3 linked regions of the Macaca mulatta genome follow. The protein of the gene in region 2 binds, or shares a complex with, the protein of the main gene of each other region. Links are inferred from orthologs where the notes say so. Each region holds a gene or a part of one and is shown on either strand. Other genes may lie near its edges. The genes, in order: DNTTIP1, CIR1 and NKAP.

Evidence for each region.
Region 1: CIR1 (region 2) and DNTTIP1 share a complex: the UniProt entries of both Homo sapiens proteins name them as parts of the histone deacetylase complex. The link is inferred for Macaca mulatta from reciprocal best matches to the Homo sapiens genes CIRSR and DNTTIP1.
Region 3: CIR1 (region 2) and NKAP share a complex: the UniProt entries of both Homo sapiens proteins name them as parts of the notch corepressor complex. The link is inferred for Macaca mulatta from reciprocal best matches to the Homo sapiens genes CIRSR and NKAP.

The regions. Positions count from the first base shown.
Region 1 is NC_133415.1:98,583,299-98,593,787, reverse strand, and holds part of DNTTIP1 (deoxynucleotidyltransferase terminal-interacting protein 1), read right to left. Parts: intron 9,599-10,489; coding exon of another isoform or gene 9,500-9,598; intron 3,894-9,499; coding exon 3,825-3,893; intron 3,563-3,824; coding exon 3,506-3,562; intron 2,967-3,505; coding exon 2,908-2,966; intron 1,620-2,907; coding exon 1,574-1,619; intron 1-1,573. UniProt on the Homo sapiens protein: Increases DNTT terminal deoxynucleotidyltransferase activity (in vitro). Also acts as a transcriptional regulator, binding to the consensus sequence 5'-GNTGCATG-3' following an AT-tract.
Region 2 is NC_133417.1:79,288,139-79,299,287, forward strand, and holds the start of CIR1 (corepressor interacting with RBPJ 1), read right to left. Parts: upstream 8,855-11,149; 5' UTR 8,797-8,854; coding exon 8,725-8,796; intron 919-8,724; coding exon 824-918; intron 1-823. UniProt on the Homo sapiens protein: May modulate splice site selection during alternative splicing of pre-mRNAs. Regulates transcription and acts as corepressor for RBPJ. Recruits RBPJ to the Sin3-histone deacetylase complex (HDAC). Required for RBPJ-mediated repression of transcription.
Region 3 is NC_133426.1:126,414,988-126,425,476, forward strand, and holds part of NKAP (NF-kappa-B-activating protein), read right to left. Parts: intron 9,215-10,489; coding exon 9,144-9,214; intron 8,959-9,143; coding exon 8,818-8,958; intron 7,077-8,817; coding exon 7,013-7,076; intron 4,841-7,012; coding exon 4,731-4,840; intron 4,634-4,730; coding exon 4,558-4,633; intron 2,794-4,557; coding exon 2,644-2,793; intron 1-2,643. UniProt on the Homo sapiens protein: Acts as a transcriptional repressor. Plays a role as a transcriptional corepressor of the Notch-mediated signaling required for T-cell development. Also involved in the TNF and IL-1 induced NF-kappa-B activation.

The sequences.
Region 1 (10,489 bases), on a different chromosome or scaffold from region 2:
AAATTAGGGAGTGGCAACTGATGGGGCTGGAGAGAGAAACACAGAGGAGTAGGAGGTCCTGGGAGGTTATGTTCAGGGGACTGCATTTTATATCTTCTGTAGGCAATGGGGAATTGCTGAAGGCCTCTGAACAGGGAGTGAGAGATTTACTTTAAAGATAGGTTAGTCTTCTAGCAATGTGGATAATGGATTTGAAGGAGCAAGACTACAGGCAGGGAGAGCAGTTTAGAGGCCGCTGTGATAAAGCAGTTGGAAAGATGCTAAGGGCCTGAGCTAGGGCAGCAGTAAGGATGAAGAGAAGGAAATAGGAACTGCAATATATTTAAGAGGGAGAATTGTCCAGGACTTGACTGGATGTAGGGAGGTGAGGAAGAGGAGGAGGCAAAGATGATTAAGATAAACAATGTAAAGAAGGGCTGTGAGGAGATTCTGATTTCATGTTTGGATATGCTGAGTCTGAAATGACTATGGAACTTCCAGCAGAGTGGTCAACCAGATAGTAGGATATATAAGTTTTAAAGTAGAAAGAGAGGCATGGGATGGACAAAGAAGTATGGGAGTTTTAGAACATGGTGGTCCCTGAAACCATAAGAGTATATGATTTAGATTATCCAGAGAGTTACTTTAGATGGAGAAGTGGGCCAAGGAGAGAATTCTGGGGAACATCCATTTATATAAGTCACTGATGAGGAAGAACTCAGGAGAGAAAGGGAGGCAACAGAGGCTAATGGTTGAGAGCAGAGACTCTGGTGTCAGCGGGTCCTGGGTTTGAGACTTGGCTCGATCACTTACGAGTTATGTGACTTTGGGCAAGTCTTTTTTTTTTTTTTTTGAGACGGAGTCTCGCTCTGTCGCCCGGGCTGGAGTGCAGTGGCCGGATCTCGGCTCATTGCAAGCTCCGCCTCCTGGGTTCACGCCATTCTCCTGCCTCAGCCTCCGGAGTAGCTGGGACTACAGGCGCCCGCCACCTCGCCCGGCTAGTTTTTTGTATTTTTTAGCAGAGACGGGGTTTCCATGTTAACCAGGATGGTCTCGATCTCCTGACCTCGTGATCCTCCCGCCTCGGCCTCCCAAAGTGCTGGAATTACAGGCTTGAGCCACCGCGCCCGGCCAGACTTTGGGCAAGTCTTAAGTGCATTAAGTGTATAAGACAACTGAATAAAGTAATTTATGCCCACAGGGAAGTTGGCAGAAAAGGAAACCCCTTATTCATAGAATGGTTCACAGAATCGATCTCATGAGTTTGTTATAAAGATTAAATGAGACAGTCTACACAAAAGATTTAGGGCATTGCCTGTTACATACTAAGTATTGAGTCAGTATTAGTGACCACTAGCTCCTACAAGAAGGCTTCAGCAAAGAGTCAAGCCTTCTCTTTGTTTTGCCTCTAACTCCAATTCCCACACAGGATCCTCTCTGAGGCCAGTGTGGCTGGAGGTGGAGAGGGGGAAGATGGCTCTGGAATGGTGGACATGCATCCTTCGCCCCCTGCCCCTTTCCCCCATGGTGGATCCCAGAGATAGTGGGACTAGCTCCTGGGATAGTGGTCTCTGCCATGCTCATATAATCATACCTTAGGACCTTCCCGGCGAATTGGTTCACAGGATTTTGGTTTCCATCTGCTTGGAAGGAAAGAATAAAGGTGAATTCTCCAAGGTGAGACCTAGAACTGAATACTGGCTTGCTGGTGGTGGTAGGAGTTCCTCACACACTCTCACTTTAGCCTGGGTATCCTCCTTCGTGGTGACACATTAGAGGAGGAACAAACAGAAAAAAAGCACTGGACTAGAAGCCATTCTAGCACTAGCTCTGCTCTTACATAGTGGCATGAGCAACTCCAAGAACCTCTGAGTGGCAGTTTTCTCATCTGTCAAAAGAGACAAAAACAGCAACTGCCCTACCTATCTTGTGTTTGTGAGGAATAAAACTGCTTTGCGTAGGAGACACATCTAAGGTATGACAGTTAATACTATCCCATCTACTAAACCAGTTGTTTCAAACTAACCCCACGCCTCTGACCCAAACCAGTGTGGCTTTATTTGATTTAAATACTGGGCTTCCATGTAACGTTTTGTTTAAAAAAGATTCTGCTGCTTCAGAATTTTTTTAAAAAGTGGGGCTGGGGGGTGGGTTGAGGGGGGAAGGAAGGATGAATAGGCAGAGCACAGAGGATTTTTAGGGCAATGAAAGCACTCAGTGTGATATTAGAATGGTGGATGCCTGTCACTATGCATTTCTCTAAGTTCAGGTACAACACCAAGAGTGAACCCTCATGGAAACTATGCACTCTGAGGATCAAGACGAGTCAAAGCAGGCTCATCGAATGTAACAAATTTACCACTCTGGTGCCTGATGTTGATAATGGAGGAGGCTGTGCATGTGTAGGGGCAGGGAACATATGGGATAAGTCTGTACCTTCCTCTCAATTTTGCTGTGAACCTAAAACTGCTCTAAAAAAAATTAAGTCTAAAAAAAAATATATATATATATATATATGAAAATGACCAATTTGGAGGTAATGGTAACTATATGACATTAGGCAAGTAATTCTCTGAGTCTGTTCTGTATCTGAAAAATTAATGATACCTTCTTTAGAGGGTGGCTATAAAGATTAAAAGGTAAAGTATGTAACGTATTTAGACCAGTCATAAGCATTCAATATATACTAACAGTGACAAACCTCTGGTGTTCAATCAAGCTGGGCCAAATTGTTCAGGGGGTAAAACAATTTCCTCCTCACTACCCTTCTTCCTCACCCCTCAAACCAGGGTAACTCCCCTCCCTCCATGATGACTTAAGCTAATGGATCTGATTTTGACGGGCACAGAACCCTGGCCTCTTTTCCTTTAGGGCCCCTCTCTCCATCTGCTCCCCTATGCTATCACCACACTGTTGGTTCCTACTCACACCATGCCGGCGGCTGCCCGGTCGCTTGACAGGATGTGTCCAGGAGGCCGTCCTTTCCTCTGCCACAAAAAACAGCTGTCAGAGGTCTGACCCTGTGGTCATGCCCCATTGGCAGGTCTGGGGTCACTTGGTAGAGATGGTTTTCCAAAGAGATCAAATGACATTTGATGGGGACAGGGAGAAAAACTGCCTCTCATGCCTAGGAAGGCTCAAAAGGGCTTTGAGGAAGCCCAGTACCTCATGGAGTGAAGAGCCTTTTTTGAGAGATAGGGTCTTACTCTGTTACTCAGCCTGGAGTGCAGTGGCATGGTCATAACTTGCCACAGCCTTGAACTCCTGGGCTCCAGTGATCCTCCCACTGCAGCCTCTCATGTAGCTAGGACAATAGAAACGTGCCAGCATGCCAGGCTAATTTTTTTTTTTTTTTAATTGTAGAGACAGGGTCTCACTATGTTACCCAGACTGGTCTCAAAACTCCTGAGCTCAAGTGATCCTCCCGGCTTGGCCGCCCAAAGTGTTGGGATTACAGGTGTGAGCTCCCACAACTGGCCTGATGAGCCTTTTTTCAGCCAGAAAACAAAACAAGGAAATGGTTTACCTTTTTAGGAAGGGGGCTTCCTCGAAGGGCACATTCTTCTTCTGCCTGCCGGCCACGCTAAAAGAAAAGCGAAGGGAGTCAGTGGAAGGCCAATGCCTGGGAGCTGCAAGTCCTCTGGAGTTGCAGAAGACACAGCCCTGGACTATTGCTCTCCAGCCCCGCCCTGACCCAGGCCAAAGAAGCCCATCCAGCATGATGCTGTTTGGACCTGGTCCTACAAATGGAAGGTACATGAAACCTCCCGGGGCCCACATATTTCATTTACCTCCCAGCCTGAAGGACCTCCCCCTCCAATACCCCAAAACACAGTGACTCTGACCTTTATTCCTGGAAGCTCATGGGTCAATCTGGGTATTACTTTTTCTCCATCTGAAAATAGCAGTTTAGCCTGAAGGGAAAAAGACCAAGTGTTACCAGTCACTATTTTGGTGGGTAAGCATACCCCACCTACTTCCTCTTTTTTTTTAATTTTTGGAGACAGAGTCTCACTCTGTTGCCCAGGCTGGAGTGCAGCAGCACCATCTTGGCTCACTGCAACCTCCGTCTCTTAGGATGCCTTAGCCTCCAAAGTAGCTGGGACTACAGGGGTGTGCCACCATACCCAGCTAATTTTTGTATTTTTAGAAGAGATGGGATTTCACCATGTTGGACAGGCTGGTCTTGAACTCTTGACCTCAGGTGATCCACCTGCCTTGGCCTCCCAAAGTGCTGCAATTACAGGCATGAGCCACTGCGCCCGGCCACATATGTATATATTTATATGCATAGAAATAGATACCTATTTTTTAAAAAATATTGAATTATCATAGCTGAAAAAATTTAAAAATGTAAAAAAGCAAAGTAAGAAAAACCTGGAATCTTATTACATAAACTACTTTTTTTTTTTTTTTTTTGAGGCGGAGTCTCGCTCTGTCGCCCAGGCTGGAGTGCAGTGGCGCGATCTCGGCTCACTGCAAGCTCCGCCTCCCGGGTTCCTGCCATTCTCCTGCCTCAGCCTCCCGAGTAGCTGGGACTACAGGCGCTGCTACCACGCCCGGCTAATTTTTTGTATTTTTAGTAGAGATGGGGTTTCACTGTGTTAGCCAGGATGGTCTCGATCTCCTGACCTCATGATCCGCACGTCTCGGCCTCCCAAAGTGCTGGGATTACAGGCTTGAGCCACCGCGCCCGGCCTACATAAACTACTTTTAATATTTCAATGTAAATTCTTCCTTGCTTTTCCCATGTAAATACATACTATATATTTTTTCAAACTAAATACATTAGCATAACACATATTCCTCATTAAGCTGCTGTTTTTCTTTTTTCTTTTTTGAGATGGAGTCTTGCTCTGTCGCCCAGGCTGGAGTGCAGTGGTGCGATCTCGGCTCACTGCAATCTCTACCTCCCAGGTTCAACCAGTTCTCCTGCCTCAGCCTCCGGGGTAGCTGGGAGTAAATTACAGGCGTGCCACCACACCCAGTTAATTTTTTTCTTTTTTTGTAATTTTAGTAGAGATGGGGTTTTATCATGTTGGCCAGGCTGGTCTCAAACTTTTGACCTAGTGATCTGCCCGCCTCAGCCTCCCAAAGTGCTGGGATTATAGGCGTGAGCCAGTGTGCCTGGCCTGCTGTTTTTCTTTTAACAAATATTGAGTACCTAGGACCTAAGTGCTGTGGACACAGCAGTAACTAGGACAAGCTCTTGTGGAGCTTATAGTTTGTGGGTGATCTCGATAATGAGCACAGAAACAAACAAGGTAACTGTGGATCATGATAGATGCTGTGAGAAAAAAAGAAAAAAAGCCCAGGCAGATGTGACAGAGAACACCAGAAGGGGAGGGCTACTTTGAGAGAATGGCCAGCGAAGGCCTTGCTCAGAAGGTGGCCTCTGAGTTGAGATGTGAAGGAGGCTATAACAAAAGCCGGGGAGAAGTGTTTCAGCAGCAGGGAGGAGTGCAGAAGCTTGAAGGTGGAAACAACTGGCTCATTTGAGGAAGAAAAGGATGGAACGGGCAGAGGGGAGATGGTGCATGAGCAAGAACCTTGTAGCAGGTGGAGAATTGGGTTCACCCGACCTCTGCCAGTGGCATTTGAGTGTTGAGGGCTCCCCCTTCTGGAAACACTCTTTTCTACAGGCTCCTGTGGTCACACTTTCCTGTGTTCCTCCTACTTCTCTGGCCACTCTTTATCTTAGCTTTCTTTGTTGGTTTTTCCTCCTCAATCTGGTTCTTTTCCCTCTATCCTCTCTCATTACATATTCTATCTGCTCTCACCTATTCTCACAGCTTCAATTAGTATCTATAAACCACGACTCCATAATTCAGCTGTAGACAAAAGGTTATCCTTTGAGCTCTAGACTTGTATATCAAATAGTCTGCCCCATGTCTATGCTTGGATGGCTCAAAGCTGCTAATCCATAACTGGATTCATGTTCTTCTCCAAACTTTGTCCCTTTTCAGTGAAGGGTGAACAAGTCTCATACATTTGTGTGGTAATCTAATTCACACCTGTCTGCTTAAGTAGGCTGTTAAGTTCTATTAGAGCAGGAAGCTTATTTGTTCATTTATCGTTTGTTTGTTCCTTCATTAATTCAATAATTCAGCAAACTCTGTACACATACCAACAGTCATATTCCAGGGCTGGGAATACAGTGGTGAACAAGATTAGGCCTCAACTCTTTTTTTTTTTTTGAGACGGAGTCTCGCTCTGTTGCCCAGGCTGGAGTGCAGTGGCGCGATCTCGACTCACAGCAACCTCCGCCTCCCGGGTTCACACCATTCTCCTGCCTCAGCCTCCTGAGTAGCTGGGACTACAGGCACCCACCACAATGCCTGGCTAATTTTTTGTATTTTTGGTAGAGACGGGGTTTCACCATGTTAGCCAGGATGGTCTCGATCTCCTGACCTTGTGATCTGCCCTCCTCGGCCTCCCAAAGTGCTGGGATTACAGGCGTGAGCCCCTGCGCCTGGCCAGCCTCAACTCTTGTAAAGCTCAAGATTTTAGCAGAGGTAGGAGTGCGAGAGGAAGACCTCTCTGATATTTAAACTAAGATCTGAAGGAAAGAAGGAGCCAGCTTTATAGAGTTAAGGGTAGAGTACTCCAGGTACTAATAACAGCAAATGAAATGGCCCAAGCTTGTGCTGGAGGAGCAGAAAGGAGTTCAGAACGGCCAGAGTATAGTCAATAAAAGAGCGGTGAGATGAAATGAAGTTAAAGAGGCCGGGCGCGGTGGCTCAAGCCTGTAATCCCAGCACTTTGGGAGGCCGAGATGGGCGGATCACGAGGTCAGGAGATCGAGACCATCCTGGCTAACCCGGTGAAACCCCGTCTCTACCAAAAAAACACAAAAAACTAGCCGGGCGAGGTGGTGGGCGCCTGTAGTCCCAGCTACTCGGGAGGCTGAGGCAGGAGAATGGCCTAAACTCGGGAGGCGGAGCTTGCAGTGAGCTGAGATCCGGCCACTGCACTCCAACCTGGGCAACAGAGCGAGACTCCGTCTCAAAAAAAAAAAAAAAAAAAGAAATGAAGTTAAAGAAGCAGGCAGAAGCTGGTCCAGGGTGAGCTCTGTGGGTCATGGTAAGGCATTAAGACTTTATTCTCCCTGCAACAGGAAAGTCACTGAAGGGTTTTTAAAATGGGGAGTGACATGATCTAATTCATCTTTACAGAGATAAGTCTGGCTGCTGTGAGAAGAGCGGATTGGAACTGGGTAACAGTGAATGTAGCTCTGGACTGAGATATAACTGTGTGAATTATGAACAGCTGAATTGGCTTCCAAGCCACAGGACTAGATGAAAACAGCTATGAAAACAGTGAGTCATGAAAGAGAAGGGGTCTGAGGACTGAACTTGGGAAGGCACCAACAGTTAGAGGCGGGGGGTGAGGGAGAAGAGTGGGCAATGAAGTTGGAGCAAAGTCAAGGCACTCGAGCCAACAGAGGAGTGTTCCAAGAAACACGAAATGATCCACTGTGACAAATGTCACTGAGAAGCTGAGTAAGTTGAGGACAGTTAGGGACCAGAGGGTTTGACAACACAGAGGTTACTAGTGACCCTGACAAGAGGGGTTCCAGTGAAGTAGTGGGGACTGAGGGACTGAAGCAAAAATAAAACAAAACAAAAAAGTGAACAGAATGAATGGGATGTGAGAAAGTGAGCCAGCAACTGTTGGTGACCTTTCCTGATGTCTCCCTATAAAAGGGTGATGGCAACAATTCCTACTAATAACAGCAGCTGACACATGTAAACAGGTTCTCTATCTTGGGAACAGTCACTTATAGACCTGATGTCATGCCTCCTGACCACACCAGAGAGGCAGGGAGGCAGCAGGGTGCTCATCCCCATGATACCAAATGGGGCCATGATAACTTGATCCACCAAGTACCTGCAGAGGTGAGACCGATCTTAGCTATTCAAATTATTGTGTGCCTTAAGCCATGTCTTTTTTTTTTTTTTTTTTGGTTTGCCTTTAAAAATTTTTTTCTAGCTCTATTGATGTATAATTGATAAACAGAAATGGTATATATTCAAGGTGTACAATGTGGTGAACTGACATATATATACATAGTGAAATGATTACCACAATGAAATCAATCAACACATCCACCGCTACCATTTTGCGTGTGTGGACACTTAAGATCTATGGTCTTAGCAAATTTGAAGTAAACAATAGAGATAAACTATAGTCATCATGCTCTACGTCAGATTGCCCAGAACTTGTTCGTCTTATAACTAAAAGTTTGTACCCTTTGATTAACATCCCCCCACTTCTCCCCTCCAGCTACTGCTACTCTACTTTCTGCTTCTATGAGTTTGCTAAGCCACAATTTCTTCACCTATAAAATAGTAATTAAAAGAGATCTTCTGGCCAGGCGCGGTGGCTCACGCCTGTAATCCCAGCACTTTGGGAGGCCGAGGCGGACGGATCACAAGGTCAGGAGATCGAGACCACGGTGAAACCCCGTCTCTACTAAAAATACAAAAAATTAGCCGGGCGCAGTGGCGGGCGCCTGTAGTCCCAGCTACTCAGGAGGCTGAGGCAGGAGAATGGCGTAAACCCAGGAGGCGGAGCTTGCAGTGAGCCGAGATCGCGCCACTGCACTCCAGCCTGGGCGACAGAGCGAGACTCCGTCTCAAAAAAAAAAAACAAAAAACAAAAAACAAGGCCGGGCGCGGTGGCTCAAGCCTGTAATCCCAGCACTTTGGGAGGCCGAGACGGGCGGATCACGAGGTCAGGAGATCGAGACCATCCTGGCTAACACAATGAAACCCCGTCTCCACTAAAAATACAAAAAAATTAGCCGGGCGTGGTGGCGGCGCCTGTAGTCCCAGCTACTCGGGAGGCTGAGGCAGGAGAATGGCGGGAACCCGGGAGGCGGAGCTTGCAGTGAGCCGAGATCGCGCCACTGCACTCCAGCCTGGGCGACAGAGCGAGACTCCGCCTCAAAAAAAAAAAAAAAACAAAAAACACACAAAAAAAGATATCTTCTGTACACAGTTTCTTCTGAGACATAAAAGAAAGAATGCATTTATCCTGGTACCTGACATATAGCAGCTACTTCCCTTCCCTGTAAGCAATGGCCTCAACCTATCCAGATATATGGCTTGTTGGGCATTCCCCAAAATACCACTAATGGTAAGATCACGTTTCTTTTTTTTTGAGACAGAGTCTTGCTCTGTCACCCAGGCTGGAGTGTAGTGGTGCCATCTCGGCTCACTGCAACCTCTGTCTCCCGGGTTCAAGCAATTCTTGTGCCTATGGCTCCCAAGCAGCCAGGATTATAGGCGTGTGCCACCATGCCCAGCTAATTTTCGTATTGTTTGTAGAGATGGGGTTTCGCCATGTTGCCTAAGCTGGTCTCAAACTCCTGGCCTTGAGTGATCTGCCCACCGTGGCCTCCCAAAGTGCTGGGATTACATGTGTGAGCCACCACGCCCGGCTTAGGATCACATTTCTTATCAGAGGCTCGAGAGCTAAACCTTGTGCCTGCATCTCTTGTCCCCCTTGGTCTCACCTGCTCCAGGCAGCTCCGACAGGCTTCCTGGATCAGCTGCTCTGTGTCCACCTCTTCCCCAACATTGTCTCGCACGTTCAATGCTGCCTTCTGGAAGAACTAGGGGAGCACAACAGAGGACAAGGTCAGAGTCCTGTTAATGGGCATCAACCTGAAGGAAACTGAATACAAGACAAGCAAGACAAGCTTTTATCCTAGCCTCATACAGAAAGGAAAAGTGATTATAAGCAAGGTTGGGATCGGCCAGATTTATAGATTCACATTTCAGGCTCGACCTCCTCCCTTTATTCCCCCTCTGAAGGATATAATCCTGGAGGTGCCCAAAAGATTGATGTGTAAACAGTACAAAAAATCAAAGAATAACCCAAATGTCTAAGTGTAGCTTAAATAAATTATGGCATATCCACACCATGAAATGCTAGGCAAATATTAAAAAATCACAATAAAGGTGATGTAAGAGAATATAGTTTTGACAGGTAAAGGTATTCATGATATACCTCAAAGTGAAGGAAGGAGGTTGTAAAACAGTTTGGTATAGTGTGAGCTTATTTATGTAACACAGCACAAGCAAACACAGAGACAAAAGAATTCCAGGGATATACGCTGAAGTAACAGGTGATATTGTGGGTGACTGTTTTCTTCTCTTGGCTTATCTATATCCTTTTGATTTTTATAATGTACATACGTTACTTCTTTAGAAGGAAAAAAGAATGCCTGTGTCTGAAGTGAATAGGCCAGGGTAGGCCAGAAAATATATTAAGATAGCAGAAAGTCCTAACTGAATTCTGACTGTCCAGTCTGAAAGAAACATCTGTGGAATGGAGAGGAGTGAGACTTGACAAGGGCCCCAGGATGCCAGCAACCCCAATCGACTGTGAAAAGGGAAGGGAGAAGGTTTCTCTGCTGGGTACAGGGAGAGTTTGAGCCTGAATACATGAGAAGATAGGCGATGAGGTCCCAAAGACACGTGGGAGGCACTTGTGAATGTCC
Region 2 (11,149 bases):
CTTGAACTATATGTATGTATCTCTTACTAGGGTTTCTTAAGGGTAGAGAGAAACTACACTTCACACACTTTTATAGGTACCTATAATACCACTTATTGCCATGCATGGAATAGGTACTCAATAAAAGTTAATAAGATTAAACAAAATTAGCGAGAAAGCTATTTAACTTTTATTTCTTTAACTTTACTCTCAATATATTATATTTTAAAAAGTATTAATAGTTTAGTATTACTTTGCTAAATTCCATATTTTGATTGAAAACTGAACTTCATGGACAATTTACCAAAACACCACTATTCAGTTGCTTGATTAACCAAGAGAAACAAGTTTCAGTGTTAAATCTGCATATATAACACAATAGCTAAAGGCAGGTACCATGTTGGAAGACACCAATTAAGAACCCTAGCCACGATACAGCTTTTAACAGAACAATGACAGGCATGTCAAATAAAGTCACTTTACTTTTCCTCTTGAAAGTGTCCTGCATATCTTTTCATTTGAGTGTGTTAAAGAAATAAGTTTGTAAGAGGTCTCAGCAGTTCAAGTGTAGACATGATTGTTCTTCTAAGCTTTGCCTAATTTGAGACTTGCTCAAAGACTATATATGAGTCACATGAATCTATATTTTACATGAATTATGGGTAAAGCCGGAAAAAGTGGCCATCTACAGGTATGAGAGTAAAAGAGATAGCCCTCAGGGAAAGAAAAGAATCCTATAGTTGGGTATTTGATCCCAAAAAGCTGACTTAATATATCATTCAGTAGGAAATTATTCCCATGAAATTGATAATTCTAGATATACTGGCATAACAGAATTTCTTACCTATTATCATATGATTCTTGTTCTTTAAGATATTGCTGCATCAATTCTTCTTGTTTCTTCTTATCATATGATATTTTCTGTTCTGCCATCCATACCTAGATTAGTGAAGTAAAAATGCAAATTAAATTGTTGGATTTAAATTGTTAAACAAAGTTTGCTTTTCTTGTATAATAAAATATAAAATGCAATTGCTTAAAGCAGGAGTGCCCAATCTTTTGGCTTCCCTGGGCCACAGAAAACACACCAATACACAGTGGAAGAAGAATTGTCTTGGGCCACACAAAATACACTAACGATAGCCAATGAGCTAAAAAAAAAAAAAGAGGGCAAAAAAATCTCATAATGTTTTAAGAAAGTTTACAAATTTGTGTTGGGCGGCATTCAAAGCTGTCCTGGGCCACATGCCACCCACAGGCCAAGAGCTGGATAAGCTTGGCTGAAAGTTTATAACATAATCCAATTGGGCTGTAATCACATCATTACAAATTAACACCTGAAAAACTGGAAGTGCCTTGATACGAGTTCTTTTTATTTTTGAGACGGAGTCTGGCTATCACCCAGGCTGGAGTGCAATGGCACAATCTCGGCTAACTGCAACCTCCGCTTCCCAGGTTCAAGTGATTTTCCTGTCTCAGCCTCAGAGGTAGCTGGGATTACAGGAGCCCACCACCACACCAAACTAATTTTTTTGTATTTTTAGTAGAGAAGGGGTTTCGCTATGTTGGCCAGGCTGGTCTTGAACTCCTGACGTCAGGCAATCTGCCCGCCTCAGCCTCCCCAAGTGCTGGGATTACAGGCGAAAGTCACAGTGGACTGGGCAAGTTTTGGTTTTTAAAAGCTGTATTTATAGTTTAAATTACGTAACTATATTCATAGGTAGTTAATGTTACACATTTCTTACATATCCTTCCGAGATGTTCTAATATATGTATATGCAAAAGAACATATACAACATTCTTCTTATATAAATGGTAACATACTTTACGCGAACACACACACGCACACAAAATATGTATGAAATAAAATTATATACCATGGAGATCTGGTATTGTTTGGCTGTGTCACCACCCAAATCTCATCTTGAATCGTAGTTCCCATAATCCCCATGTGTCATGGGAGGGACTCGGTGGGATGTAATTGAATAATGGGGGCGGTTACACTCCATGTTGTTCTCATGATAGTAAGTGAGTTCTCACGAGGTCTGATGGTTTTATAAGGGGTTTTTCCCCTTGCTTAGCACTTCTCCTCACTGCTACCATGTGAAGACGGACATGTTTGCTTCCCCTTCTGCCATGAATGTAAGTTTCCTGAGGCCTCCCCAGCCCTGAAGAACCATGAGTCAATTAAACCTCTTTCCTTTATAAATTACTCAGTCTTGGTTATTTCTTCACAGCAGCGGTAAGAATAGACTAATACAGTAAATTGGTATAGTAGAGTGGAGTGCTGCTAAAAGGATACCTGAAAATATGGAAGCGACTTTAGAATTGGGTAACAGACAGAGGTTGGAACAGGAAAATGTGGGAAACTTTGGAATTTCCTAGAGAATTGGAGGGCTCAGAAAACAGGAAGATGTGGGAAAGTATGGAACTTCCTAGGGACTTGTTGAATGGCTTTAACCAAAATGCTGATAGTGATACGGACAATGAAGTCCAGGATGAGGTGGTCTCAGATGGAGATGGGAAACCTTTTCAGAAGTGGAGTAAAAGTCACTCTTGCTATGCAAAGAAACTGGTGGCATTTTGCCCCTGCCCCACAGATCTGTGGAACTTTGAACTTGAGAGAGATGATTTATGGCATCCAGTAGAAGAAACTTCTAAGCAGTAAGGCATTCAAGAGAAAGCACAGCATAAAATTCTGGAAATTCTGCAGCCTGACAACACAACAGAAAAGAAAACCCTATTTTCTGGGGAGAAATTCAAGCCGACTGCAGAAATTTGCATAAATAATGAGAAGCTGAATGTTAATCACCAAGACAAGGGAAAATGTCTCCAGGGTATGTCAGAGACCTTCACGGCAGCCCCTCCCATCACAGGCCTGGAGGCCTAGGAGAAAGAAAAAAGTGGTTTCCTGGGCTGAGTCCAGCCTCCCACCTGCTGTGTACAGCCTTTGGACTTGTGCCCTGCATTCCAGCCACTCCAGCTATGGCCATTGCTTCAGAGAATGCAAGCCCCAAACCTTGGCAGCTTCCATGTGATGTTGGACCTGCAGGTGCGCAGAAGGCAAGAATTGAGGTTTGGTAACCTCTGCCTAGATTTCAGAAGATGTATGGAAACACCTGGATGTCTAGGCAGATGTTTGCTGCAGGGGTGGAACCCTCATGGAGAACCTCTACTAGGGCAGTGGGGAAGGGAAATGTGGGGTCGAAGCCCTCACACAGAGTCCCTAGTGAGGTACTATCTAGTGGAGCTGTGAGAAGAGGGCCACTGTCCTCCAGACCCCAGTATAGTAGATCCACCAACTTGCACCATGTACCTGGAAAAGCCACAGACACTCAACACCAGCCCATGAAAGCATCCAGGAGCAGGGCTATACCCTGCAAAGCCACAGGGGCAGAGCTGCCCAAGGCTGTGGGAGCCTAGCTATTGCATCAGCGCACCCTGGATATGAGACATGAAGTCAAAGGAGATACTTTTGGAACTTTAAGGTTTAATGACTGCCCTATTGGATTTTGGACTGGCATGGGGCCTGTAGCACCTTTGTTTTGTCCAAATTGTCCCATTGGGAATGAGTGTATTTACCCAATGCCTGTATTCCTGTTGTATCCAGGAAGTCACTAACTTGCTTTTGATTTTACAGGCTCACAGGTGGAAGAGACTTGCCTTGTCTTACATGAGACTTTGGACTTAGACTTTTGAGTTAATGCTGGAATGAGTTAAGATTTTGGTGGACTGTTGGAAGGGCATGATTGTGTTTTGAAATGTGAGGATATGAGATCTGGAAGGGGCTGGGGTGGAATGATACGGTTTGGCTGTGTCCCCACCCAAATCTCATCTTGAATTGTAGTTCCCATAGTCCCCGCGTATCATGGCAGGGACCCAATGAGAGGTACCTGAATCATAGGGGCAGTTACCTCCATGGTGTTTTTGTGATAGTGAGTGAGTTCTCACGAAATCTGATGGACAAAACCATCAGAAAAGGAGCTTTTCCTCTTTTGCTCAGCATTTTTCCTTGCTGACACCATGTGAAGAAAGATGTGTTTGCTTCCCCTTCTGCCATGATTTTAAGTTTCCTGAGGCATCCCTAGCCCTGCAGAACTGTGAGTCAATTAAACTTCTTTCCTTATAAATTACCCAGTCTCAGGTAATAGCAGCATGAGAACAGACTAATACTAATACAAGACTAACACAGATCAGTAAACAAATGCTTTCTTCTTTTGGGTGGTAAAGTTGCATATTTTTCTATTGTGGGATTATACCATAATTTATAATTTATTTAAGTAGCCTCCTACTGTATAAATGGGCACTTAAGAAATTTCCAATATTTTGCTATTAAAACTTTGCCGCAAGAACTCAATACACAGGTAATTTCACACACATTTGGCAGGGTTTTGAAAAGGATCAAGGCATTGCCAAGGAAAAAAACAGGGCAAGATATTACTGGCAGAGGGAACGACTCAGGCAAAGGCCCAAAGATGTAGAATAGAACTAAGTAGTTCAACATTACTAATGTATAAAATCTGAGGTTGGGCCGAGGTGGGCAGATCACCTTAAGTCAGGAGTTCGAGACCAGCCTGGCCAACATGGTGAAACCCCATCTCTAGTAAAAATACAAAAAGTAGCCAGGCATGGTGGTGTGTATTTGCAATCCCAGCTACTTGGGAAGCTGAGGCAGAAGAATCACCTGAGCCCGGGAGGTGGAGGCTTCAGTGAGCTGAGACTGCGTCACTGCACTCCAGCCTGGACAACAGAGTGAGCCTCCATCTCAAAATCAATCAACCAATCAAATAATCGATCAATCAATCTAAAGTGGGAGAATAGTAGGGGAGAGAAGGAGAAAAAAATGGAGTGAGATTACTTGGGCTCAATCCTGTAACACTTTAATAAGGGGCTGAAAGAGATCAGATTTGTGCTTTAAAAAAAGACGATTCTATCAAAATAACTTACATCCATACAATGGAATATTATTTAGCAATAAAAAGGAACAAAGTGCTGATACATGCCATCCCATGTATAAACTTCAAAAACATTATGGTGAGAGTAGCCAGTCACAGAAGACCACAGATTGCATGATTCCATTTAAATGAATTTCCAGAACAGGCAAATCCACTAACAGAAAGTAGATTAGTGCTTGCCTAGGGCTGCAGAGAGGGAGGAGAGTTAAGGAGAAATGGGAGTGACTAACAGGTATGGGGGTTTCTTTACATTTTTTGAGACACGGTGTCTCACTCTGTCACCCAGGCTGGAGTATAATAGCGCAATCTTGGCTCACTGCAACCTCTGCCTCCCGGGTTCATGTGATTCTCCTACCTCAGCCTCCCGAGTAGCTGGGATTACAAGCGCCTGCTACCATGCCCAGCTAATTTTTGTATTTTCAGTAGAGACAAGGTTTCACCATGATGGCCAGACTGTCTCGAATTCCTGACCTTGGGTGATCCAACCACCTCAGCCACCCAAAGTGCAGAGATTACAGGCATGAGCCACCGTGCCCGGCGGGGGTTTCTTTTTGGGGTGATGACAAAGTTCTAAAATTGTTTGTGGTAATGATTACTTAACTCCATGAATATATTTTAAAAACCACTAAATTGTACATTTTACATGTGTGTTTATATGATATGTAAATTTATCTCAGCAGAGCTGTTAAAATGAAAAATGACTATTCTGAGGGCTGTGTAATGAATGGATTTGAGAGGATTCAAGATTGGAGGCAGTAGAACCACTTAGGAAATGCAACAATATAGGTGAAAAATGATGAGGGTCTAAATTAAGACACAGGCAGTAGTGACAGAGAGGAAAGACGGATTCAAGAGATATTTGGAAGGTAAGACCAATAGCATTCAGTGATTGACTAGATAAAGGAGTGATGGGAAAAGGGATGAATCCTGAGCTTCTGGTTTGGGTAATAGGATGAAGGATTGTTTTACTATCTATATTTCTACCCATATGAGATAGCAAGTATAAAAAGGGCAGATTTGGGGTAAAAAAACCTTTTATTTCAGATATGTTGAGTTTGAGGTGCCTATAGGACATCAAGACGTAAATGTCTAGATAGCTGTCTGGAGCCACATCAAAGTTAAGAAGAGAAAACTGGGACTGCAGATCTGAGTCATGAGTAAACAGGCTAGTTAAAACGGGCTAGTTGGATGTGATTGCTTGGGGCAAGGATACTAAGTAAGCAAGAAGTGGGCCAAGGATGAAACTTTGGGGAACACTTATATTTTAGGAGCAGGCTAAAAATAAAGATCCAGTGAAGTTGATGGAAAAAGAAGTCTACTAATAGAGCGGGAAAACTAGAAGAGAGTAGTTACTACAGCTAAGGGAAGAGAGACTTTCACAAAAAAAGGAGTTTACAGTGGTGCTATTGTCAATAGCCGGTTTGTAAAGTGTTTGCCAGTTCACAAGAAGACAAATAAGGAGCTTGGACCACAATGTAAATTAACTGCTTCCTTCATTAACAATATCAAGAAAAAAAAAAGAACAGCTGAACTAAAACAGTGTATCCTGTGACATAAATGACTGAGGCAGCGCATAACAATACATAACAGAGTGACCAGCAGATGTATAGCATTCACTCTTATTTCTGGTGAACAAATGAGACCTTAAAACCTACCAGACTCTTTGTAAGCTTGGGAAACTGAAAACGAACAAGGAAAAAAAGAACCTACTGGACTTTAATAAACCCAACATGCTTAATTTTACAATTAGAATTTTCTTTCTTTCTTTTTAAATATAGATGGGGGTCTCACTTTGTTGCCCATGCTGGTCTTGAATTCCTGGCCTCTCAAAGTGTTGGGATTATAGGTATGAGCCACCATACCTGGCCCTTAAAATTTTCATGGTGGAACTCTTTTGCACTCTTTGATCAAACTCCTTTGTTTCTTCCACTTCTATTTCTTAAAAACAAACAAACAAACTTTACTGGAGTATGACATATAAAAAGTTGTACATATTTAATGTATACAACCTGAGTTTGGTGACAAGTATATCCCTGAGAAACCATCACCACAATCCAGACTATAAACATATCCATCATCTCCAAAAGTTTCCTCCTACCCGAATACATTTTTCTATTTATCTTCATTTAATATAGTTCCTCTATCCTTAGTTAATTAAGAATGTTAGAGGTTACCCCCTCTCCCCATAAAGTATTAACTATCTAGAAAGGTCTGCTAATCAAAAACATTTCATTCTTCTCCTCTATCCTGGGAAAAGTATAAAAGAGATCACAAAGGCCAACAGTATTTGGTACATTTTACTTAACACTTTACACGGATGAGAAGAATGTAGGTTCTAAGCCTATAACTGCTTTACTGAATTTCTCATAGGGGATTTGCAAAAGTTATTCTCCGTGGATTTCTTTTTTCTTGTAAGAAAGCTGATTCAATGACTTTTATAACGCTAAATGTCAAAAGTTCCAGTAAAAAATTATGATTTCTCGGGTATATTTGTCTCTAAATATAAACAGCAACTAAGCAAGCAACTGAATTCCATCTAATCTCTTCATTCTTGTAAAACTAGTAATAGCTGACCCCCTGAGTATGCAGAGAAAGGAAACGTCTGTGTTTGCTGTCAACAGTTATTGAGCCAACCAAATACAAGAAACCTCTCCCTCCCACAGTTGCAACCACGCAAACACAAACTGGTGCGGCGGAAAAAATCACTAGGTTAATCGGGTGTTCCAGATTCTAGTTCTGGTACAACATTTAACTAGCTGTGTAACTCTTGGCAAATTTGTTTCCTCATTTATAAAATAAGGAGATGGGGCTGGATGATTACCAAAGAGCTTTCAAGGTGTATCTGCGTTATTAAAATTTCATGGGGGAGTTACTAAGAAAAAATGTTTAATAAGGCTCCTTAGGAAGGTAACAGTGAAAAAAAGTTGAGAATCACTGGTCTAGAAGTGAGAGTATATAGCAATATCTCATCACCTCAACTGGTTCTAAAAACAAATAAAAGCTTAGTTATTTTCACAACTTTCTACATGGGGCAATCAACATTTTATTGAGCACCTCCTCTCTGTAGCGAACAGTGATAGATGCCTACGTTGTTTCAAATCCTTTATCTCCACTATTTCACTTAATCCTCACAATTAAGCCAATCACCCTTAATTTACAGATTAGGAGACTGAGGGTCAGATATTACAAATATTTTGTGCAAGGTCTTAAGGCTAAAAGTGACTGCTCGAATAACTAGAATCCAGATTTGACTCGAAAGCCGATTCTTTCTAATTCACTCTTCTGCTTTTCATTACTATGATATTCACCAAGGTATTACACCTGGTAGACCTGTAATTACGTAAAACACTAAACTTCAACGAGGTCATTAAAAAGACACTAGATTATTGGGTAAATTTTTTAAAGATCTATCTTAAATAAACGTGGAGACTTCTTTGTACAGAAAAGTAGAGTTCAGAAGCCGTGATCCCTGGGATCCGAAAAGACAAAAAACCAGAATCAGCTGAGGGAAGTACTGAGGAATTTTGACATTAGTCTTCACATATTATGGATTTACATTCCGGGCGACAAAGATTCTCTAGGCCGCCGGTCTCCTCGCTGTTGCAGAATAAACGCTGAGGATCCCCTGCGTCAGCGAGCTGCTCAGCAGAGAAAGGCGAGACTACGGGGCTTTAGGCCTAGAGAAGCGGGGCTGTCCTACGGACCTCAGAGACATCACCACTTTCACTTCCAGCACCTCAGGGAAGGCAGTCTCCGTGGGCCTGATCCCTCCCCGGGTCTCTTTACTCACTTTTTTGATGTTGGATTTGGAGGCAGGATGAAAGTCTTTCTTACACATGAAGTTGGCGAAGGATTTCCCCATCTTGGACCTGGAGCTAGGGAAAGCGGCACCTAGATCTGTAAGTAACGTAAACAAACTCAGTCTCCTAACCGGAACTGCTTTTCCAGCGGCAGGGGGAACTTCCGAGGTCAAAGGTAACAGCTTCCGGCAATTGATGCCTACACTGGCCAATCCTCCCTCCGTCCACCTGTCACTTCGGGTAGTTTGGAGGCCAGGTGAGGGGCGTGCACGGGGGAGGGGCGTGCATAGTTGAGACAGAAACCGGGAAGACCCAACTGTGGGGCGGTACTGCTTAACCGAGGGGCTCCAGAGCCCAGCTGCGCTGGCTGCGATTTGAGCGCCCAGGGCCGGGGTGCGGGGTGGACCGCGGCGGCCCTTCGACCAAAGGTGCTTGAAGCTCGAGCCCATTACTTTCTGTGAACTCTGACTCGAGCTGCAAAAACTTTTCTGCACTGTTTTTCTCATCTCTGTTATGGAGATAATAATTCCTGCCCTAACTGTAGTATGTTTGCGAGAATCCAACGATATGTTTCTGAAAGCGCCCGCTGAACTAAGAGCGCGTGAAATAGAATGAGACAGCTTTGCAAGAACGGAGGCCCTTGCCCCAGCTGTACGGTGCTGGCGCCGAAAGACGTTCAATAAAGACTTACTGAATGACGAATACACGTTAGGAGTTAGTAAAATCTCTCAAGGCTTCACCTCCTCAGTGGGCTAGGTGCCATTCTAACCAGGCGGCAAGTTTCCTTAGCTTTCCCTACCACCCCAGTTAGGCAGCTCAGATTACCTATTGCAGCTTGATGGACCTTGGGACTCCAGGTTTTTGAGTGGACGTGGCTGCTTCTGCAGCAGGTGACCCACCAACCAAGCTCTCTATCAGGGTAATGTTAAGAATAAATTTACGCCGGGCGCGGTAGCTCACGCCTGTAATCCCAGCACTTTGGGAGGCCGAGGTGGGTGGATCACCTGACGTCAGGAGTTCGTAGACCAGCCTGGCCAACGTGGTGAAAACCCGTCTCTACTCTAAATTAGCCGGGTGTGGTGGCACGCGCCCCTGTAATCTGAGCTACTCGGGAGGCTGAAGCAGGAGAATCACTTGAACCCGGGAGGCGGAGGTTGCAGTGAGCCGAGATTGCACCATTGCACTCAGCCTGGGCAACAAGAGTTAAACTGTCAGGGAAAAAAAAAAAAAAAGAATAAGACTTTATGAGAAATTTTCTCTCTTACCAAATAACAACAACAGCTTTCACGTGAATATCTAGTATGTTCTATGCACTGTGCAAAACACTTTACATGTTGCCTTATTAAGTTCTAACAGCCCATCAAACAGTGTCTTTTTTATTTTACTGGTGAGGCAGAAGGCATAGGGAAGAGAGAGATTAAATAGTCTGCCAAAATTATATAGTGATGGAACTAACTATAAAACACAAATAGAAGGAGATCCAGGACATAAGGATTGAAACACAGAAAGAAAATAACAGAAGCCATCAAGACATCAGACTTCTCACTAGGAGAACAGGAAAACCCTTAGGAGTTTCAGGCTGAAGTTTTTCTTTACTCATTTTGTTTTCTTTTTAAGGAAACATTTATTATATTTAAATTTTGTTTTTAAATTGCTAGCATCTGCCTGTGTAAAGCCATTCTAAGGTTTTGTCATTATTAAAGGAAAGAAGGAAACTCTGTAAAACAATGTGTCCATTCTGGCAGCGAAATAAGGATCTTTAGGTGTTCTATTATAAGTGAAGATCTAAGATTTTCCAAATTACAACTGAAGAGGTAACCTAGATATTAAAGTATATAATTGCGATTTATAAATTAAATATGTGAACTTTCTTCTAGAAATGCCAACAATTTGAAATTATATTGACATATTTTTGTCTGAATCAATGAGTCTGTTTCAAAATTTCAGTCTCATCAGAATTATAATCTGTGTGTATTATTTCCCAGCTCAAATAAGACCCCTTCTTCCTTCCCTTGAGGAAGCATGGGCACATAAGATTTTTTTCCAAAAGACAAGTTCCAGCAATGAGAATACAAAGATTAGTAAGACATACTCCCAGCCCTCAAGGATCTCATTGTCCAGTAAAGGGACTTATATATACACAAATGTAGTAGAATCTAGCCTTTACAACAGTAGAGCTAGGTACAGGGATTTCCAAATGTGGAAATGGTGAAAGGAAATTCAGGGAAGACTTTAGGAGAGAAAGATCTTAGAGAATAAATGTGAACTATAAACTGTAAGAAGGTAGTTTTCATTGCCATTTTCTTATTGAGTTGTAGTACAAGATTGAGTCCCAAGTCATAGTCTTATTGATTTTTAGGCTATAGTATACAAAATGTAAAACTTTAATGAACAACCAAGAATGGTCACTCATGC
Region 3 (10,489 bases), on a different chromosome or scaffold from region 2:
TTGAGATAGTGTTTTGCTCTTGTTGCCCAGGCTGGAGTACAATGGCGAGGTGTCAGCTCACTACAACCTCTGCCTCATGGGTTCAAGTGATTCTCCTGCCTCAGCCTCCCAAGTAGCTGGGACTACAGGCACCCACCACCACACCCAGCTAATTTTTGTATTTTTAGTAGAGACGAGGTTTCACCACGTTGGCCAGGCTGGTCTTGAAATCCTGACCTCAGGTGATCCACCCGCCGCAGCTTCCCAAAGTGCTGGGATTACAGGCGTGAGCCACTGCGCCCAGCCTGAATTTTATTCCATTGAACAATTCAGTTGTTCTCCCATGCTTTCTAAAGTGCTGTGAGCTTCATAATAAATCCTCCTATCTTGTAGGGGAAATCTTACCTTCCTGCTCTTCTTTTTCAGGAGTGACTTGGCTATTCTTGTCCTTTTAGTCTAACATATAAATTTTAGAACTGGCTTATTAAGTTTCATGAAAAACTGTGTTGTGATTTTGATTGGGACTGTATTCAATATAAAGATCAATTTGGGAAGAACTGACAACTTTACAATATTGATTTCCTATCCATGAACCTGGTATCTCTCCAGTTATTTAAGTTTTCTTTAATCTTACCTTCTTGCTCTTCTTCTTCAGAAGTGACCTGGCTATTCTTGTCCTTTTAGTGTAATATATACATTTTAGAACCAGCTGAATAAGTCTCATGAAAAACTATGTTGTGATTTTGATTGGAACTGTTGAATAGACAGATTCTTAAAGTCTTACATTTTTCTCCATAGAACCTGGGGCATCTTTTGTTAAGATTTATTCTTAAGTCCTTCATATTCTGACACTGTTATAAACTTTCTAGGTTTCTGCTGTTGGTAAATAGAAATGAAATTCATTTTTATTGGAACTGTATTGAATATACAATCTCTTAATAATGTTTTATAGTTTTCCTCACAGAGTGTTGGGCATCTTTTGTTAAGATTTATTCTGAAGTCCTTCATATTCTCTGATACTATTACAAATGTTGTTTTCTTCTTATTTAGTTACATTTTCTAGTTGTCTGTTGCTGGTAAATAGAAATGCAATGGATTTTTGTGTATTAACCTTATATCCAACCATTTGTTAAACACTCCTCTTATTTATAATTTATCTGGAGATTCTTTGGGATTTTCTATGTAAACAATCAAATCATTCACAATGTCATTCACAAAAAAATGACATTTTATTTTTTGAGGTGGAGTTTCACTCTTGTCACCCAGGCTGGAGTGCAATGGCATGATCTTGGCTCACTGCAACTGCCTCCTGGATTCAAGTGATTCTCCTGCCTCAGCCTCCTGAGTAGCTGGGACTACAGGCGTCCGCCACCATGCCCAGCTAATTTTTGTATTTTTGGTAAAGACGGGGTTTCACCATGTTGGCCAGGCTGGTCTTGAATTCCTGACCTCAGGTGATCCACCCAACTATGCCTCCCAAAGTGCTGGGATTACAGGCGTGAGCCACCGCACCTGGATAAAAAATGATATTGTTATATTGTCCTTTCCAATCCTTATTATATTATTATTATTATTATTGTTTTTTCAGGCTGAGTCTTGCTCTCCAGGCTGGCATGCAGTGGTGTGATCTTGGTTCATTGCCTTCTGGGTTCAAGCGATTCTCCTGCTTCAGCCTCCTGAGCAGCTGGGATTACAGCTGCGTACCACCACGTCTGGCTAATTTTTGTGTTTTTAGTAGAGATGGGTTTCACCATGTTGCCCAGGCTAGTCTTGAACTCCTGGGCTCAAGTGATCTGCCTGCCTTGGCCTCCCAAAGTGCTGGGATTACAGGCATGAGCCACTGTGCCCGGCCTTCCTTTCCAATCCTTGTGTCTCTAATTTCTTTTTCTTGCCTTACTGCATGGGTCCTCCAATGTAATACTTCAAATATTGGTCCTCAGAATTACAAGATTCTGGAGGTGCTTCAGGGTTTCTGCAAATATTTGCCTTCAATATCATTTAAAAATAGTTATCTACTTTAAAAAGTTTATCAAGTTTTAAAGAATCCAAAATTCAATTTGATCTAAATACTCCTGCCCTATTAGCTCATTCTCCTGGTTCTTCCTGGAACTTTTCCCTTTCCTAATTTTATATTTGTTTCCCCATGCTGAATCCAGTGTCTTTTTAAAATTTATATATTTATTCATTTATTTATTAGCCAGGACATGTTCTCAGCTGACCAATGTCTTTTATCATCTTTTTCTGTTATTCAGTCTCAGAAATCTGGGCCCATAAAGAACTGGAGACAAACTTGTAACCAGGAAACACTGTCTTGCGAAAATATTTCCCTAATTGCCACATTCCTCACGGGACAGTGATAAATAGCTGAATTTAACTATATCCTCCAGTGGATAAAATATCTGTACCCAAATACCAACTAGGAAAGGACATTAGAAAGACTGATTCTTTGAAGTCAGAGATATAGCTGAGTTTGAGGCTGAGTTGCATATATACTTGGAATTGCAGAAAACCATGTTATACTAACAAAACTAATATCAAACCAATATTTATACTCTACTTTTAATAAGAAACAGTCACTTAATGAGAATCAATTACGAAAATATAATTCTAGTAGTAAAAAAGAAGATCTAGTCATGGAAACTGAGCTTAATGCCAATAACATACCTGCTACCACTCATTACATAACCTGAGCATTCAAATGATGCAATTTCTTCACTTGTCAAGCCAATTTCACCTCTTCGTGGGATACGTTTTCCAGCTTTTACATATTCAGCCATAGCTGCGCCTTCACCAGGTAACAGAGCATGGCCATAGCTACAAAGTAATTCAGAATTCAGAAAACGTCCATTAAATCATCTTAATATTAAAAACTCATAATCTAAAGAGAGCACCAAAAAACCCCACATTTTCTCTCAGACAAGAGTAGGAGTAACAATGCTCAGCAGTAGTGCGCTAGGAAGCTCAATGTGAATTGCTTTATCCTAATTAGTGTATTAAATATTGCATTGCACTATGACCTATACAACTAACCCAGAAATGCAGAAATATTTTGAAAAAAAGAACTGATGTGAGTATAGATTCACAGTTTACAATTATGGATTAATTTATCCCTACAGGTATTGTCATTACTGGTTCTGGCTCCAGCTGATTCCCTTTCCCTTTTTCCCTTAAAAAATCCAAAGTATGCCAGGCACAGTGTCTCATGCCTATAATCCGAGCACTTTGGGAGGCCGAGGCCGGCGGATCACCTGAGGTCAGGAGCTCGAGACCAGCCTGGCCAACATGGCGAAACCCCGTCTCTACTAAAAATACAAAATTAGCCGGGCATGGTGGTGCATGCTTGTAGTCCCAGCTACTCAGGAGGCTGAGGCAGGAGAATCACTTGAACCCAGGAGGTGGAGGTTGCAGTGAGCCGAGATCGTGTCACTGCACTCCAGCCTGGGTGACAGAGCGAGACTTTGTCTCAAAAAAAAAAAAAAAAAAAAAAAAAAATCCAAAGTAGGCTGAGTATAGTGACTGATGCCTGTAATCTCAGCATTTTGGGAGGCTGAAGCAGGCAGATCACTTGAGGTCAGGAGTTCGAGACTATCCTGGCCAACATGGTGAAACCCCATCTCTACTAAAAATACAAAAATTAGCCTGGGCGTGGTGGCAGGCGCCTGTAACCCTGGCTACTTGGGAGGCTGAGGCAGGAGAATCACTTGAACCTGGGAGGCGGAGGTTGCAGTGAGCGAAGATCATGCCACTGCACTCCAGTCTGGGCAACAGAGTGAAACTCAATCACGCCACTGTGCTTCAGCCTGGGAGACAGAGTGAGACACCATCTCAAAAAAACAAAACAAAACAAACAAACAAAAAATTCTAGGCCAGGTGTGGTGGCTCACGCCTGTAATCCCAGCACTTTGGGAGGCTGAGGCAGGTGGATCATGAGGTCAGGAATTTGAAACCAGCCTGACCAACATGGTAAAACCTCGTCTCTACTGAAAATACAAAAAAATTAGCCGGGTGTGGTGGCGCATGCCTGTAATCCCAGTTGCTCAGGAGGCTGAGGCAGGAGAATCGCTTGAACCTGGGAGGCAGGGGTTACAGCGAGACAAGATCACGCCACTAAACTCCAGCCTGGGCGACAGAGCGAGACTCCGTCTCAAAAAAAGAAAAAAAAAATTCTGCTGGTAAAAAAAAAAATAAGAGAAAAAAAGGAATAAAAAATTCTGTGAGGATCAAAGAGAAATAGAAATCACACCTACTTGTGGAGGGGAAGTATTGGGAATCAGCATATGCATCTCCTTTTGAAAAGTGCTTCGAAGGATAGTAAGGATTTTAACAGGAAGAAACTGGGGATAAGGAAGAGAACAAAGGGCAGGGAAAAGAAGGGAAGGCATACTGGATGAAGAAATAAGCTGAACACTGCATAAAAGTTGCAAAGTACACATTAAGCATAGGGAATATTTAGTATGTCAAGCTCAGCCAGAACCCGAAGTAGATATAAGGGAACAGAGTCAGATAAGCTTGGCAAGGTGAGTTAGGCCCAGACTTTTTGGAAGGTACTTTAGATATTATAAACACACTGCTACTTACTTCAAAGGTTTATCATCTTGAGAGGTAAGTGTTTTTGGAGCCTCTGGGCCAATTAAATCTGAGGGTTCTTCAGCCTCTGCATGAAAGATATTAAGAAACACATTCACATTCTGACTAATTGGTTACTTTAATGTTTCATCTGTTCTGAGTTAAAGTCTATCAGAAGAACCTACTTGTTCGATCCTTCCAGGGATTTTCCAGAAACTCTTCTTGGGATTCTTTAGAGCTTGAATCACTGGACTCTTTTCTGCTCTTCTTAGACTTCTTTTTCTTATATTTCTTCCTATAGGGATTATAATTTGATGCAAATTCACTTAATCTTCCTATGTTAGAGGGCATCTTAATTTTTCTTTTTCTTTCTAAATTTTGAACTGGTAACTATATATCTTAATTTTTCAAGGCAAAGAAAGGTGACAATAAAATGATCTGAGTTCCCAGAGTATTCAAATTTGCAAGATAATTTTACTTAAAAAAATCTGCTTCTAACTTATCCTTGGAAACATAGCAAGACCTCGTCTCTATTAAAAAAAAAAAAAAAAAAAAAGTAGCTGGGTGTGATGGCACACACACCTGTAGTCTAAGCTATTCAGGAGGCTGAGGAGGGAGGATCACTTGAGCCCAGGAGTTCAAGGCTGCAATGAGCTATGATTAGCCACTGCATTCCAGCCTGGGCAACAGAGCGAGACATTGTCTCTAAACAATTTTTAAAAAAACTATTCTTATTTAACCAAATCATCTTTTGCTATAAAAATTATCACTAAAGGAGGCTGGGTGTAGTGTTTCACCCCTGTAATCCCAGCACATTGGGAGGCTGAGGCGGGTAGGTCACTTGAGCCCAGGGGTTAGAAACTAGCCCTGGGCAACATGACAAAACTGTGTCCCTACAAAAAATATAAAAATTAGCCAGGTGTGGTGGCACACGTCTGTAGTCCCAGGTATGGGGAAGGTGGGGTCAGAGGTGGGAGGATGGCTTGATCCTGGAAGGTTGAGGTTATAGTGAGCTGTGATCGTGCCACTGCATTCCAGCCTGGGTGACAGGGTGAGACACGGTCTCAAAAAAAAAAAAAAAAAAAAATTCACTAAAGGGAATAATGAAATACAGTTCTGATGTTGTAGAAAGACAACAGAAATAAAACAGCCTAAAAAGTTCCAACAATTTGAACATTATGAACAATTTTATGTGTAATGGATTAAAATGTCAAATATGTTTAAATCCTTGGGTTCATAAAACTTTTAAAAAATTCAATTCATTATTTGAAAAGTAATAAAACAAAAACAATCAAGCAATTATCCTGCTCTTACTATATAACTATATTTCAGGGTATCTAAATAGTTGATGAGGGTAAGTTTCTCTTAAAGAATTATTTGCCTAATAAACGAAGGATAAAGCTAGGATTACTATCATCATTTTACAACCCCTAATGAAATAATTGATCGAGATAATGACCATCAATGGTTGTTAATATGATAAAAAGAGACAACCAGACATTATTTGCCTATTGACAGTACACAGCACCACCTATGAAGTATTCTTGCCCCAAACTCAAATCTGAACCTTGTCAGGCCTCTAGACCTATCAATCTATTAGAAATACAGAGGACAGAACATGCCAAAAAAACCGTAAGAATACAGTCATTGCAATTTAGGGACATTATTTGGATCCTGATTGGAATAAACTACAGAAAAAACGGCTGAGAATTGAGGAATTATTATTAAATGTTTTAGGCACAATAGTAGCATTCTGGTTATGGGTTGCTTTTTTTTTTTTTTTAAATATAGAGACAGGGTCTAGCTATGTTGCCCAGGCTGGTCTTGAATTCCTGGGCTCAAGCGATCCTCCTGCCTGGCCTCCCAAAGTGCAGGGATTACAGATATGTGCCACTGTGTCTGGCCAGTTTTTTGCTTTGTTTTGTTTTGTTTTGTTTTGTTTTAAAGAATGCCTATCTTTTAGAGAAAGGTACTGAATTGCTTATGGATGGAATGATATCTGAGATTGGTTCCAAAATAAATGATGGATGGCAGATACTGACCATGAGTTGATAATTATTTAGACTGCATGACAGGTGCAGGAGGCATCATTATACTATTTTATGTAATTTTATATACATTTGAAATTTTCTGGCCGGGTGTGGTGGCTCACACCTGTAATCCCAGCACTTTGGGAGGCCAAAGTGGGAGGATCACTTGAGGTCAGGAGTTTGAAACCAGCCTGGCCAACATGGTGAAATCCCATCTCTACTGAAAAACACAAAAATTAGCCGGGCATGGTGGTGGGTGCCTACAATCCCAGCTACTCGGGAGATTGAGACATGAGAATCGCTTGAACCTGGGAGGCAGAGGTTGCAGTGAGCCGAGATCGAACCACTGCACTCCAGCCTGAGCAACAGAGTGAGACTCTGTCTCCAAAAAAAAAAAAAGAAAAGAAATTTTCCATAATAAAACTTAAAAAACTGACGATCTGTGTTTCTTCTTCTTTTCCTTTTTCTTGGCTTTCTTTGCTCTCCTTTTGTTATCTTCATCTGCAAATTAAAGCACATTACAATTAAGAAAAAATTTAACTCTAAAATTGTAGTACTTTTGAGTAGGTAACTACCCTACTGCTGTCGCATTTATTGTTACAAAGAAATTACCTCATTGAAACATTTATTGCTATTTGTCAGGAACTGTAGGAGGTACTGTGAACATAGAAATTAAAGTCACTAGGTATTTGGTGATATAGGGTATTATTATTAATTTTATTGTGTGAGATAGTGTGGTGGCTAAGTAGGAAAATGCCTCTTTGTACGGGACACATACAGAAATATTTAGGGTGAAAGTGTGAGAATATTTGTAATTAACTTTGACTATCTCAGTGAAAAGCCCGTATTTGAAGCAAATATGTAAAAATACTAACAACTGCCAAATCTAGGTGATAAGTATATGGTATTAATTATACTATTCTCTTCGCTTTTCTGAATATTTAAATATTTTCATAATAAAAAGGGAAAGAAAACTATGTGTGTGTTGGAGGAGGGGAGAGAGAATACTTTCCCGGAGCTCAGTCTAATGGAGGAGACAGGTAAAGAGATCAATACAATCTGGAGTGATAGAAGGAAGCTTGGGGAACCTGGACACACAGAGGAGTCTCAAAATCAGACTGATTTGGGGAGGGTGGCTGAGGAATGGTTGATAAGGAAAGGTGACTCTTAAAGTAGTTCTTTGATTACAAAAGTAACGCATGCCCATTGGTGCAATGAGTAAACCAAGCTGGATGGAGGGAGAGACTGGCATTGTAGGCAGAGGGCCTCTCTACCAAGTAACAATTAAGAGAAAGAACACGGAATACTGAGGAGACAGAAAGTAGTTTTCAGATTACAGAGGATGCTGCAAGAGAGTGTAACAGGGTATGTGTGATTAGAGAGAAGTGAGTCAGGGTCTGAACTTCACCCTGAAGGCTATGGAGTGCTATTGAAGGATTTTAAGTAGGTATTTCGTGATATAGGGTATTATTATTAATTTTATTGTATGAGATAGTGTTGTAGTTAGGTGTAAAAAAATGCCTCTTTTTAAGGGATGCATACAGAAATATTTGAAAGTTCTGTCTGCCAGCATTGAGGAAGAGAAGTGACAGGGAGGGCCAGGAAACTTGGGCGATATCAGAGGACGGTGAATCTTTGTGTAATGTGTTAACCTCAGAGGAATCACCTTCTGGTCAATCATCAGACAGGAGAGAGTACAAAAAAGAGACTTTTTGTGATGCACTACCGCAGATAGGGTGCCTTCCACAAATAGGCAGCCAGCATGAAGTAGGCACTTTATGGCATACCTTTTTGAAAACTGTACAGAGGTGCTCACTGGGCACGAGAATTAAACAAAAGAGCCCTTCCACTGGGCTGATGCAGCCCTGTAAGGCTTACTTTGGTACAGCCTAACCCCCTGACTTGGTCTGGTGCCATGTGCCTTGTAAAACTTTGCACAACCAATCCCAATATGGAGTCAGATTGCTTAGGTTTGAATCCAAACTGTGTGACCTTAGGGATAGTACTTGTAACCTGCTCTGTCTCCTTTTCTTCATCTATAAGATGTACCCTACAGTTATTGTATGGATTAAATGGCAATAATGAATATAAAGTGCTTATTGGGGTACCTGGCACAAGGTTAGCAAGTGTTCAAAAAATCTTCAGTATTATTATTGTTTCTAGGAACCTTCTTCTAAAATAAGTTTTAAGAAGTAAAACTAGTTTTGAAGCAAGGCTTACAGAATGCTCTTGGCTTTCTTACCACTGGAGTCTGTTTCAGAATCAGAGTCACTGTCGCTATCTTCAGAATACTTCTTATGTTTTCTTTTCGATGATTTTTTCTTTCTCCTTTTCTTGGACCTTTCTTTTGAATGGCTAGACTTCTTCTTCTTCTTTTTTTCTTCTAAGAAAATACAAATAAAAAAGTTATATTCTAAAAAAGTATTTCTGAACATCAAAAGAAACAGACGATGGGCAATTTGAGTAAAAGCAAAGTCTAATGTTCAACTATTTACAAACTGATTTTTTAAAATTTCTCAATAAAATAGCTCTGTATTTAAAAAATACCTTTTTTTTTTTTTTTAATACCTTCTGAAGTGGAAGCTGAAGTAGTGCTTTTCTTTGGCTCTTCATCCTCCACTGGTGTATGTTCATCAGAACTGAATTTAAATAAAATGGTTATAAGAATTAGGAAAGTGACGAGATATAGACCATGGAGCATAAAAATATGAACTCCAAATTTTTCAATAACAGCATTGATTGTCCAAGAACCATTAAAAGCAAGCGTTGGAGATCCTAAGGCAGAACTTGGGAATCAAAAAAAAACAAAACAACAACAAAGCAAGCACTGAATTACTTTCATAAACGTGCAGTTCAAGGGTCTACCATCTTTGTAAAAATAAAATAACTTATCATCTGCATAACACTTTAGAGTTTACAGAGTGCTATTTAAACAAAGCAGCATGGAGGATTTATATTTTCATAAGAAACTACAGGGAAAAAGTAGAGAAACAGGAACCATAGGAAAGATTAAAGAAACAGGATATAAGAAGGCTGAAGAAAGACTTTATAATTTTATTTTAATCATGTAAAAGACAAATGGTAAAGCAGTAACTGTTCTGTCTCCTCAGAACAAAAACCTAACAAACTACAGTCTAAAGAGATTTTGTTCTGTTGCAGAGAATTCTGAAAATGAGTATTATTTAAATTCTACAATAGTTTAGAAAAGGAGTTTCCACATCATATAATATTTTCCTCTGAAGATTACACTTGGAGTAATTTAAATATCGTCTAGAAAATTATTTTGGCTAGGCGTGGTGGCCCCCGCCTGTAATCCCAGCACTTTGGGAAGCCGAGGTGGGCGGATCATGAGGTCTGGAGTTCAAGACCAGCCTGACCAACATGGTGAAACCCCATCTCTACTAAAAATACAAAAATCAGCCGGGCATGGTGGCGCGCACCTGTAATCCCAGGTACTCGGGAAGCTGAGGCAGGAGGATCACTTGAACCTGGGAGGCGGAGGTTGTGGTGAGCCGAGCCGAGATCGCACCACTGCACTCCAGCCTGGGTGACAGAGTGAGACTGTGTCTCAAAAAAAAAAAAAGAAAGAAAGAAAACTATTTTTAGGGTTCCTTCCAACTGTAATTCAATGCATTCAGGTTCAAGCATTTTCTTTTTTTTTTCCCTCTTAAATAGAGATGGGGTCTCGTTATTTGCCCAGGCTGGTCTTAAACTCCTGGGCTCAAGGAATCCACCTGCCTTGGCCTCCCAAAGTGCCGTGATTACAGATGTGAGCCACTGCACCTGGCCTCTTCAAGCATTTTCTAAAGGTATCTGTAAGAAAAAGTTTCAGATAATAATGCTTTATTATTCAGTCACAAATTACAGGTTTACCTGTCAAACACACATTGTCTCAACTCATCCTAAAGTTGGCA